3 linked regions of the Zea mays genome follow. Each later gene encodes a partner of the first gene's protein in a complex. Links are inferred from orthologs where the notes say so. Each region holds a gene or a part of one and is shown on either strand. Other genes may lie near its edges. The genes, in order: pheophorbide a oxygenase, chloroplastic; Probable chlorophyll(ide) b reductase NYC1, chloroplastic; 7-hydroxymethyl chlorophyll a reductase, chloroplastic.

The links.
Region 2: pheophorbide a oxygenase, chloroplastic (region 1) and Probable chlorophyll(ide) b reductase NYC1, chloroplastic share a complex: the UniProt entries of both Arabidopsis thaliana proteins name them as parts of the SGR1-CCE-LHCII complex. The link is inferred for Zea mays from reciprocal best matches to the Arabidopsis thaliana genes ACD1 and NYC1.
Region 3: pheophorbide a oxygenase, chloroplastic (region 1) and 7-hydroxymethyl chlorophyll a reductase, chloroplastic share a complex: the UniProt entries of both Arabidopsis thaliana proteins name them as parts of the SGR1-CCE-LHCII complex. The link is inferred for Zea mays from reciprocal best matches to the Arabidopsis thaliana genes ACD1 and HCAR.

The regions. Positions count from the first base shown.
Region 1 is NC_050096.1:10,195,692-10,199,442, reverse strand, and holds the start of pheophorbide a oxygenase, chloroplastic, read right to left. Parts: upstream 2,269-3,751; 5' UTR 2,005-2,268; coding exon 1,636-2,004; intron 1,547-1,635; coding exon 1,311-1,546; intron 1,223-1,310; coding exon 1,096-1,222; intron 1-1,095. UniProt on the Arabidopsis thaliana protein: Catalyzes the key reaction of chlorophyll catabolism, porphyrin macrocycle cleavage of pheophorbide a (pheide a) to a primary fluorescent catabolite (pFCC). Works in a two-step reaction with red chlorophyll catabolite reductase (RCCR).
Region 2 is NC_050098.1:2,270,026-2,273,776, reverse strand, and holds the start of Probable chlorophyll(ide) b reductase NYC1, chloroplastic, read left to right. Parts: upstream 1-990; 5' UTR 991-1,155; coding exon 1,156-1,494; intron 1,495-1,830; coding exon 1,831-1,909; intron 1,910-2,010; coding exon 2,011-2,146; intron 2,147-2,485; coding exon 2,486-2,560; intron 2,561-2,667; coding exon 2,668-2,863; intron 2,864-3,119; coding exon 3,120-3,188; intron 3,189-3,324; coding exon 3,325-3,464; intron 3,465-3,611; coding exon 3,612-3,734; intron 3,735-3,751. UniProt on the Arabidopsis thaliana protein: Involved in chlorophyll b degradation. Belongs to the chlorophyll catabolic enzymes (CCEs).
Region 3 is NC_050096.1:206,311,215-206,314,965, reverse strand, and holds the start of 7-hydroxymethyl chlorophyll a reductase, chloroplastic, read right to left. Parts: upstream 2,625-3,751; 5' UTR 2,521-2,624; coding exon 2,309-2,520; intron 2,202-2,308; coding exon 2,117-2,201; intron 1,638-2,116; coding exon 1,529-1,637; intron 1,276-1,528; coding exon 1,191-1,275; intron 1,093-1,190; coding exon 1,051-1,092; intron 837-1,050; coding exon 758-836; intron 343-757; coding exon 291-342; intron 196-290; coding exon 133-195; intron 40-132; coding exon 1-39. UniProt on the Arabidopsis thaliana protein: Probable iron-sulfur flavoprotein that converts 7-hydroxymethyl chlorophyll a to chlorophyll a using ferredoxin as a reducing equivalent. Catalyzes the reduction of a hydroxymethyl group to a methyl group. Belongs to the chlorophyll catabolic enzymes (CCEs).

The sequences.
Region 1 (3,751 bases):
ATGCTGCCGGCACAAGTTCATGACACACAGATAGCACAATTAACTCAGCCAGTCATTTATAGGGTTTGGTTTGAGGAGCCACTCCATTCTAAATGTGGTGATGCATCATGAGTCAATTCCTTAAATTTGGTTGAATGACCCCATTCTTCATACTAGTACTAACTACTAGTCTGAGGAATGATGTGATAATGCACTGACCAACCTACTCCATTCAACAAACCAAACAAAGAAAAGAGGAATGAGTGGGTGAACTAACTAATCCCTCAAACCAAACACCCTATTAATGCCTGTTCAGACTAAGCAAGTAGCGTAAGTAAAAAAGAATAAAACTATGATGCAAAAATATATATGGGTGCATCCACAGTTAAGATCTAACAGTTAGGGTTTGGTTCCTTTAGTCCAGGGACGAAAGTTTAGTTAGAAGACTAAAATTTAGTCCCTACCCTGTTTGGTTCTAAAAACTATAAGTATTCAAAACACATTAAATGAATCATAAGAAGACCAAAATACTCCTTAACATCCTCCCGCCATTAGTGCAACTGAAATGAAGGAGGGCCAAAAAGTGGATTTTTATGGTTTAGCCCCTTAGAGTCATCCCTTGAGGGACTAGAGACTAGAACAGTTTAGTCCTTGTTTTAGTCCCACCGTTTGTCAATTTATGGACTAAATGGGACTAAAATGGAGGCACTGATATTTAATCCCTCAAACCAAACGGGACCTTAGTTAAACTTGCACGCTGGCAATCAGAAACGATAAGAGGCCAGACTCAGACCATTCAGCCCTTTTGCCCATTATAAGTCATTTCTGAGGAATTTCAATGCAGCATAAGTAAAAAAGAATAAAACTATGATGCAAAAAAAATATATGGGTACATCCACAGTTAAGATCTAACAGTTAGTTAAACTTGCACACTGGCAATCAGAAACGATAAGAGGCCTACACAATTAAACAGTATTGAGGTGGTGATTTTTTAGCAAACTACACAAATTGGTTGCAACAAAACATCTTTCCTCGAATCACCAACTTTCAACTGAAAAATACTATCATGGTGCTTAAGTGTGGCAAGCAACTAAGCTTTCTCACTGTACCAAGTACCTTGTGGTGAGCAAATTCTATATGGGACGGATCAGAGACGTTCTCCATCAACGTATCATAACCATAGAACAAGTCCCTCTGGATTGTCACCGTGGAGAAGGCCGGGTCCTCAAATTCTTTCGGCAACCTGAAACCAAACAAGATCGAATTCAGACACCGAAATGCAAAACTGAATCCAACCAATTAGCCGCAGTCCAAAGTCTGACTCTACGCACATTGGAGGCTTGGTGGCGGCCGCTTTCTCCCACCCATTCTCATCGGGCCACACGAAGAGCAGCCCCTGGGAGACGAGGGTGGGGAACTTGATCGCGCACGCCTTCGGTGACCGCACCGCACGGGCCTCAGGACCCTCGGGCATGGCCTGGGGGATCTTGGTGCAGGCGCCGGAGCCATCGAATGACCATCCGTGATACGAGCACTGCAAGCACCCCGTCTCATCGATCCTGCCCTCCTGCACATGCCCAGACCAAAATTAGCCGAAACGAGGAAGAGATCCGGTAGGACACGGATGAGGCGAGGAAGGGATGCGGGTCGCCGTACCGAGAGCGGGGCAAGGCGGTGGGGGCAGCGGTCGTCGAGCGCGACCCACTCGCCGGACTTGGGTTCCTTCCAGATGACGAGGTCGCGGTTGAGGAGCTGGAACGGGGTGGGGCGGCTGGGGTCGAGGTCCTCGACGAGGGAGACCGGGTACCAGTGATCCCTCCACGAGAACTTCTCGCCGGACTCGGGCGCCGACGTGCTCGGCTCCGCCTGCTCCGCCGCTTCCCCTGGGACGGACGTCGGCGCCGCCACGCGGAGGCGGGTCCGAGAACGACCGCCCACGCGGAGGCGGCCTCCAGCCAGCGGCACGGCGAGCGAGGGGAGCCGCGGCGTCACCAGGAGCGACAGGGCTGGGATTGTCGCGCGCATATTCTCCCCGCACGTGTCGACGTGAAGTGAAGTGAAGAGGTTTTGGCTTTCGCGTTGGGAATTCTTCGCCGCGCTGGCTATATGCTTGGCGGCCGGAGTCGGTGGTTGGAACGGTGCAGATCTTCTAGACTGGGCAAGAACAGAGTTCTGCCACGGCAACGGGGAGAAACCTGGTTTTGGCGCAAGAAAACCAGTGGACAAACAAGAAAATTCCGGGATTTTCCCACGCTGGGGAGTGAACGCGAGGGAAGAACTAGTAGGGCTGGGCAAAAAACCCGTAACCCGAAACCCAAACCTGGAATACCCGAACCCGAACCCGAAATACCCGAAACCCGAATTTTGTTTGGGAATTTCGGGTAGCAACTTGCAAAACCCGAAATTATTTCGGGTAATTCGGGTATCACAATCGGGTACCCGAAATACCCGAATTACCCGAACTTTCATGTGTCATGTACTCATGTCATGCTTAATAATTAATTTGTACATCTATAATTATGTGTAAGTGTGCATAACTTGGGATTGTAGATTGTTTGTGTTTTATATGTCCATGTATATCATTATTCAAACTATATTTTTATACTAATTTAATAGGGTGTATGTGTTTTTATGAAGCCAACACAATAGTTCGGGTAGTTTGGGAATACCCGAACCCGAACCCGAAATTCCGGGTACCCGAAATTCCGGGTATTGAAAAATCCGTTGTAATTTCGGGTATTGATTCTCAAAACCCGAAATTTAAAAAACTTGAATTACCCAACCCGAAAATTTCGGGTAACCCGAACGCCCACCCCTAAGAACTACTGATACGGTTCGGCTAGGGAGAATACATTGTACACATGGTGAGCGCAGTGTGGTTGCGTCACGGCAGGGAAGGGAGGAAGGGCGGGGAAGGAGGACAATTGTACGCGACCACGCATGGCGCTTTGCGGCATTTGTGCGGTGGAGCTTGCATTGGGCCAGCTAGCCGTCCCCACCGGGACGAATGCGCCGCGCGGAGGGGAGACCTGACCGGCGGTGAGAACGACACGAACCCACCCGTGGGCCGTGGCGGAATCCACCCCGCCGGATGTTTGCAATTCGCATCTTGCTGAGTAGCTACAAAGTTGAATAGATCAAATTCGAATTTGTTTACCAGTTCTACTACTACTTCCGTCCCTCAACCTATAGTAACCATTATAAGAGCATCTCAACTCATTTCAAAAAAACTTTCTAAATTCAGATTTAGCGAGCTGCTAAATATATACTGAAAAAACTGTCAAATCAGTTTTTCTAATTATTACTTGGAATTTTAAATTTAGTTTCATTTGTATGGTAAAGCTATCTTTAGACTTGTCAAATGAGGATGGTACATTTATAATTTTCGCGGCTTAAATCATTTAAAGTGTGTCACTTGTATACGAGCGCGATCCCGATGGTAGGCAAGTGAGTTTGCGATGCAGTTGACAAGCAAAATAGTTTATATGTAGATCTGGTTTAAATGTGATAATTATTTAAACATGTTCTAATAATACTAACTATAAAATAAGTCGACATATTTCAACTGATATCATTTAAATACTAAGGTAGTCATGCTATTTATCCGTAATAGTTTAAACCATGGTCCTGTTTGGTATAATTTTTTTTCTAAAGAATTTTTTTAAGAATCTAAATTTCTAGATAATCTAGCTGGCACGAGAATATAAATATCACGAGACTTGCGTTTGGAGAAAGATGAATATGTGTGCATGGTTTAGGTTTTAGAACGATG
Region 2 (3,751 bases), on another chromosome or scaffold:
AGCTAGGACGATCGTCGATGGTTCAGTGCACGTACGTTTGCCGTGGCACTCCCGCGCGCGCACGCCGCAGCCAACTCAACCGATGGATGGACGGTCAAACCAAGCAGGCGAACGGAGTCGGCAGCACAGCCACAGCGCTGAGTCACCTCCTCGCGTGCGTTTGCGTGCCGGACTAACGGGAGTTGCGTTGCGTGCACGTGTTTATTTGCTCTAATAACCGCGCACGCTTGGCGTCGCCGTACGTGTAACAGGAATTTTTTGCCACTAATGTGCATCTGCAAGTTTTGTCCTGTCGTAAACACCAGATGATGCTGCCGAACACGTACGAGTTGCGTTTAGGGAAAAAAATTTGTTGCAGCCCGGCTGCAAACCAGGCTGTTTGCAGCCCCTCACAAAAAGGTGGATAGGCCCCACCTGCAGGTCCACCAGATAACGTTTTAGTTGTATTATTTACCTGCGGGTGGGACCTATCCTCCTTTTTGTGAGGGGCTGCAAACAGCCTGGTTTGCAGCCGGGCTGCAACAAATTTTTTTCCTGCGTTTAGGGTTTTGGACGACGACGAAACATTGGCATCCGGGGGGGCTCGGAGGTCCCGTGCAGATCTCGTTCGCAGACAAATAAAAATATAACATGGGCCAAAATGCTCAAACGACACGTACGTACGCGTTTACAAGTATCTGTCTAGGATTCTGAGATATTTCTTCGACGATTCTGAGATACTTGATTTTTTTGCTGACATCTGTGTGCTAGCCCTGGTCCGAGCTCTATCTCCGTGTCCGTGGAATGGACTGGACAGGGACTCGGTGCAGCCGCATCCGCCCAGCGCTGGGGACCCTGAAGCCAAAGCGAACGGCCACGTGGCGCCTATCCGCGCGAATGGGACGGATGGATGAGGTTGCAGCAGCGTGTGGCCGCCGGCCAGTTCATCTGAGCCCAAAGAACTTCACAAACCAGTCCAGGGTCCTTTCTGCAATAACCTGAAGAAGCTACGATTATTATATTTATTCACTGGTAAAGCCCAGTGGAGAGCACACGCCTCTTCTCCCCCCCCAAAAAATCCAGCAGCAGCAGCAAGCCCCACGCAACATTAGCAGCAGGAGACCACCCCAATCCCCCACGGACATTCGCCGCGAACCCTTATCTGCACGCCGCGCCATGGCCGCCGCCGCCGCCGCCGCGGTCGCCCACCTCTCCATCCACGGCCGCCTCCGCCGCTCACCGGAGCATCGGCCGTCCATCACCACCACCACCACCTCCTCCTCTTCCTCGTCCGCTCACCGCCCGTCCCTGCTGCGGTGCCGCGCGTTCAAGCAGGAGGCCGGCGACGGCGACCCGGCTGAGGCCGACGCGCGGAAGCGCAGGAAGGGCCCGCTGTACAAGCTCAAGGCGGCGATCCAGGGCCTCGCGGGATCCCGCTCCGCCGCCGCCGAGGTGTACGGGGGAGAGTACCAGTACCAGCGCGCCGTCGAGAAGGCGGAGGAGATATTCTTCTCGGTGAGCACCGCACCGGCCTCCGCTCGCGAATCCTTGCGGCGTGCCCCCCACCCTCACCAGTCACCACGCTTATCTGTTTGCTCACACACACACCTGAATGAATTGCCTAACTATGCTGGAGTACTACTATCAGGAACGCAAATAAATGTCCAGTGCTCGCTAATTACAGCCTTAGTACCTTAAACCGTGGCATCATGAACAAACAAGGGTTTGTTCATTGTTGCATGTGATCCAGGCTTGCAGTCCACCATACCAAGTCGTATATTTCTCTTATTCCATTTCTCCTGTGCATAAGGGTTTCTTATATGTTTGCTGATCTCAGTCACCTTCTCGCAGGTTACTACTCAGCTAGGCAGATATGTTATCACTATGATGAGCAGCGGTGTTGTACTTGGGGTTGGATTCCAGCTGTCAGGTTTGCCATACGTTTATGCCTCTCGTTTCATTTCACTCTTGGCCTTTTCCTGAAATTCCAATTTAATTAGACGGACTATTTTTTTTAAACCCCTCACCCAGGTGGAGACAGCCAAATGAACGAACTAATTTGGTATAGCTGGCTTGGTGGGGTGATTATCGGCACAATGATAGGTGCAAACAGTGTCCTAGAGGAACACTGCAAAGCTGGACCTCGCAATGTCGTCATAACTGGAAGGTACCTTGTTTCCATCCTTCGTTCAAGATGCCTTCTGCAAAATTTTCCAGGACTCTGTATGCACCATTTTTCAATTTTCATTTATTAGCTGACTTGCCCTGTAAGAAAAGTATTGCACAGCATATTATTGATAGCATATGAAATCACTCTAGAAAACAGAAACTGTCGAGGTTAATGGATTTAGCTACTTAAGAAGGAAATAAAGTTTGGCTGTGTTTTTCAAGTTTTTGCAGTTTCACTGCTCACGGCCATTGGATAGGTTATTTCATACTGTTGTTTCTTATTTCGGCAATTAGCATTGACATCAGTTTTTTTTTTTTTGTTATAAAAAAATTCCAGCACAAGAGGGTTAGGAAAAGCGCTTGCTCGTGAGTTTCTTCTTTCTGGAGACCGTGTTGTAATTACTTCACGAAGGTGATATTCATGAGAACTTTAGTCTAGTTCTACAAGGTTTCATACTTTTTCCTTATGGAGCTTTATGCTTTATTTTAGTTTTAAATATTTTCTTTTTGTGATGGCAGTCCTGAATCAGTCCTTCAGACTATAAAAGAACTTGAAGAGAACATACAGGAAGGGTTATCTGTTGCCAAAAAGAAGCAGAGGAATATTCTATCGCATGCCAAGGTTGTTGGTACAGATTGTGATGTCTGTAAACCTGAAGATGTGAAGGAGTTAGTGAATTTTGCTATTAATGAGCTTGGTTCAGTTGATATTTGGGTAGGTAATTCATTACAGTTTTGTAGCTTAAATCTATATCTTATTTGGTCTACCTTTTGTTTTGCTAAAGAAATATTTAAGTAAAGTTGGATTATACAGAGTTTATAACATTTACATCAGTTGTGAAATGTACTTTATATATATGATGACATTAAGATAGATTTTGTGGTGCCCACTTTTATGCTTTTCTGTATGGTTCTATGGCTACATCAAAGAAGAATATTATTTACCACTTCTTCTCCAACCTTGTGTGCAGATAAATAACGCTGGCACAAATAAAGGTTTTAGGCCATTGGTAACCTTTTCAGATGATGACATCACTCAGGTTCGTTATTGTTATATTATGTTGTGTTTTTATCATTTTTTATGTATGTATCATTGATCAGAGGACCTGGCTTAATCATGCTACCTTATTTCCATCTTTTTATTAATTTATTCTGATCTATTTCATGTTGTTACAGATCGTCTCAACAAACCTAGTTGGTTCTCTACTGTGCACCAGAGAAGCCATGAATGTCATGCAATACCAAGAGAAGGGAGGCCATATATTCAACATGGATGGAGCAGGTTCTGGAGGATCAAGCACACCACTAACAGCTGTGTAAGCATCTTAGCTTTCGAATACTCTGTTGCTTCTTTATAGCTTCTACTGTATAGATGTGTGTTTTTTGTTGCTAAAACTTGAGTGTCCTGTATTGGAGTTCTTTATGTTATGAAGCGAGATCTGATGCTGAACTCAAATTTGTAGCTATGGTTCAACTAAATGTGGACTAAAGCAGTTCCAAGGATCACTTCTGAACGAAAGCAGAAGATCAAAAGTTGGAGTGCATACTGCTTCACCTGGTATGGTCCTCACAGACCTTCTGTTAAGGTAAGCTCTCCATACTT
Region 3 (3,751 bases), about 200 Mb from region 1:
TCAAGAATTTATCAAGCCCTTCACGCGTACCATTGTCAACTAAGAAAAATACAGTATGTTAGAGCTACAATATTATCTTCCACGACAGAAAATGTAAATATTGACTGGTTTGAGAGGAGAAATGGAAATTACCACAGTTTGTTCCAAGCACATAAAGCTTTTCCAAACCAAGGTACTTTTCTACAGATCTCAAAGCTGTAGTTCAAACAATAACTTTAGCAACTTTTACTTTTACATTTGATAAAACATCAGCAATAGAAAGAGAAGAAAGGCCAGGTAAAGGAAAAGACCTTGCACTTGACAGCCCACACCGCAGAAAAGAAGCCGCTTTACACCAGCTGCCTGCCAAAGGAAACTGTGAAACTCTCTGGATTTATAAACTGGTCACTATAGGATATCATATGTATTGTTATGGTTGGAGGGATGATTGGAATAGGCTTTGGAACCCACTAGAATGTGGGGCTACTCCAGATTTAATAGGCTAATAGAATTACATTTGCGGTCTTGCCAAGCAACAAATTCAAATATAATTGAACTACTTCTAATTCTCTTGAATTGGGAAATGGGAACGAATATCTGGATCAATTAACCCTAAATTAATATTAGGACAGCTGATTCTCTCTGACTCTCAGAGATCTGCTGATATGACCCATTATTACTTCTATATGTTATAAGAAAGGGAAAGGAGGCATGGCACCATAGCTTGCATCAAGAATAAGGGGGCATGGGAAGTATAGAGTTAAAAGGAGCGACTTACCTCGACTAAGGCAAGTGTATTGAGATTTGGTGATAATGTTGGCTTCACACCTTTGGCTGCAATTACTTCGTCTGGTGTCCTACAAGAGCATGGCTACTGAGATTAAATGTCACTTCCATTCTAGAAATCAAGGGACATAATGATTAGCATGAGTAATTCATGGATGGACTGATAACAAAAGTTTAAGCTCAAAATAGTTACAGAAAGTCTGGAATTGCAAAAGTATATCCAGTCAAGGAGTGTTATACACAAGCCATAAAGGACAATTCTGAAAGCCATCAGTTTCACAATACCTGGCCAAAACAGGTCTTGGAGCAAGCCTGTCGTCAGGATCACTGCAGAGGGGGTAAAAAACATTATTTGAATCCATGTGGTAATGCTTGTGCATAGCACTGAGAAAGAATGATGTGGCATTTGATTCTTGTTTGGGTGCCTTTGTACACAAACCACAGCATCAACCATGTTTGCTTTCAGCATCTCGACAGCGATTGTTGTCACTATTCCCGTCCACTGGGCTCCTGTTGCATGTGAGGCACATATATGTTACAGGGTACAAAACATAAGTCGTCAGGGTACAGTTTTGTCTAACAAAGGTTTGTTGAGTATATCAAGATAGTGTAGGAAATAAGATGCAACATTCGAGGTGTATGTGGTTTCGGTTTGTTATGGAAGGGCAGTGAACAAGACTGGTATATTGCATATGTGTGCTTCCTTAGATGGATGCAGGCGGTTGTTGAAGGATAAGAACAACTTGTAAAAGGTAATTAGTACCTTCAACAGGTTCGGTCTTCCTGGCATACAAGAGTTGGTCATAGACTCCAAAGTACATTTCATCCATGCCTTCCTTCCGGCCTCTCCCGTGGACTTGTCGCTCAAGATCCTAAATATAGTGAGGAGAGTGTTGGCATCTGTAAATTTGTGTCAACTTTTTTTAGGAAACAGGAGAGTTCCCCGCTTTATTTCACTGAAACAAAGTGTAGAATTCATGTCGAGCATTACTACTCCCTCGGTCTAAATTATAGTTCACTTTAGCTTTATTCTAAATCAAAACTTCTTTTAACTTTGACTTGACCTAAGTATTTTATAAAAAAATATACTCCCTCTGTATATGTTCAAATAAACTATCAAGACATTTTTCACGAAGAAATTGATGAAATCATTTTGATATTGTAGATGGTCTCTATGAACTTGGTCAGAGTTAGAAAAGTTGAACTATAACTTTCGACGGAGGGAGTAACTGCGTGCAGCACTGCAGCCCATGGCTTGATCAAACATCAGACGATCATTTTTGTTTTCATTCAGCAAACTGTTTGAGCCGTTCTAGGCAGGTGATGTGATGCGAAGATGAAGGGAGGTGACCTCGACACGGGACATGCCGTCTCCCAGGAAGGCACAGGCAGTCTTGACATGCGCAACGTAGTATGTGTCGCAGAGCCCACAACGGCTTGAATCGCCATACGAGTAGAAATAGGAACAGAGGTAAGCATCGCATATTCGCATCACATAAACACACAAACAAACAAAGAAATGCGCAGCACAGCAGGCATATACCTGCAGTGGTCCTTGGCAGGGTAGACGGCGCCAGGAGGGATGGGCTTGGATTTCTGCCTCCAGTCCTCCCTGACCGCCTTGGCCCTGATCTTGCGCGTTCTCTCGGACCTGGAGGACGAGGAGGAGGCGAGGGAGGGTCGGCGGAGTCCAGGAGACGAGGACGAGGGCGACGAGGCGTGCAAGCAAAGGGAGAGGGAGGTGCTGGAGGCCATGGTGGCGGAGATCGTCTCACCTCAGTACCTCACCGGTGATAAGACGGAGGATCGAGTGGAGATGGAGGAGTCATGCCTTGAGCCTTTAAGAGAAACTACTGTTACTGGGCCACCTCATGAATTTCGGCTCATGTCCACCCTTTGAGGAAAATTCGGAGCCTGCAAAATGTCCACCCATCGATGCATAGTGCATCTTTTTGGTTTTCATATTTAAAAATATTCAAAATTCAACACTATACCCCGGATAAAAAGTTAACAGAAATTATGCCGCCCATATATGTATTTTTTTACTTCGTAGTCCCTCCTTTTGGTGGGACGACGATCCGTACTCTTAGATTGTCTTCAACACCTTACTCATCATATCTCATATCTCAACCGCTATTTTAAACTTAACTCTTATAAACAGTAGTATACAATATAAAATAATTTTTTACGCGATCATATATATGACTAGGTTCATGCCCATGCGTTGCTACGAAAGTAAAAAAAATAGTATAAAACATAGATACGAAACGATAAACAACATTATGATATGCAAAATCTATGTGGCAAAATATCACTGTAAAACTATTATATTGGCGAGATAAATATGTAATCTTATTATAGCTAATTGCACGTGCGTTGTTACGGTTTCTATATATCAAACAATTAGACTTTATTTTAACAAATCACGAAAACATGTGGGTTCTGTTGGTTAGATGAAGGTGGATGTACAACAAACAAATATTCAAACCACTACCTATTGATAGACTTTGTTTTACAAAACACAAAATATATATCTTCTGTTGGTTAGATGGGTGTGGATGTAAATCCAATAAAGGCCCAAACTACTATTTATGTGTAATTGTACCTAATTTTTGCATAAAGTAGTAATTTTATCTAATTTTTTCATAAAGTGGTAAAGATGACCACTATTTATGTGTAATTGTACCTAATTTTTGCATAAAGTAGTAATTTTATCTAATTTGTTCATAAAGTGGTAAAGATGATCTACGTTGAAACCAGAAAAACTAAGCATTCTTTTTTGCCTTAGCAGAATCTATCAGCACACATCACGCGATTCCAGTCCACCACGTATATATGGAGCAATAGCTTGCCAGTGAACTCATCTCTCGCATGTTATTTCACTCTTCAGTTTAAAATCTGATAGATTGTTTGAGCTAACTCGAGCTCTGCTTCAGATGTTTTGTAGTTAAAATCTGACACGAGACATATATCATATGCAATGGGC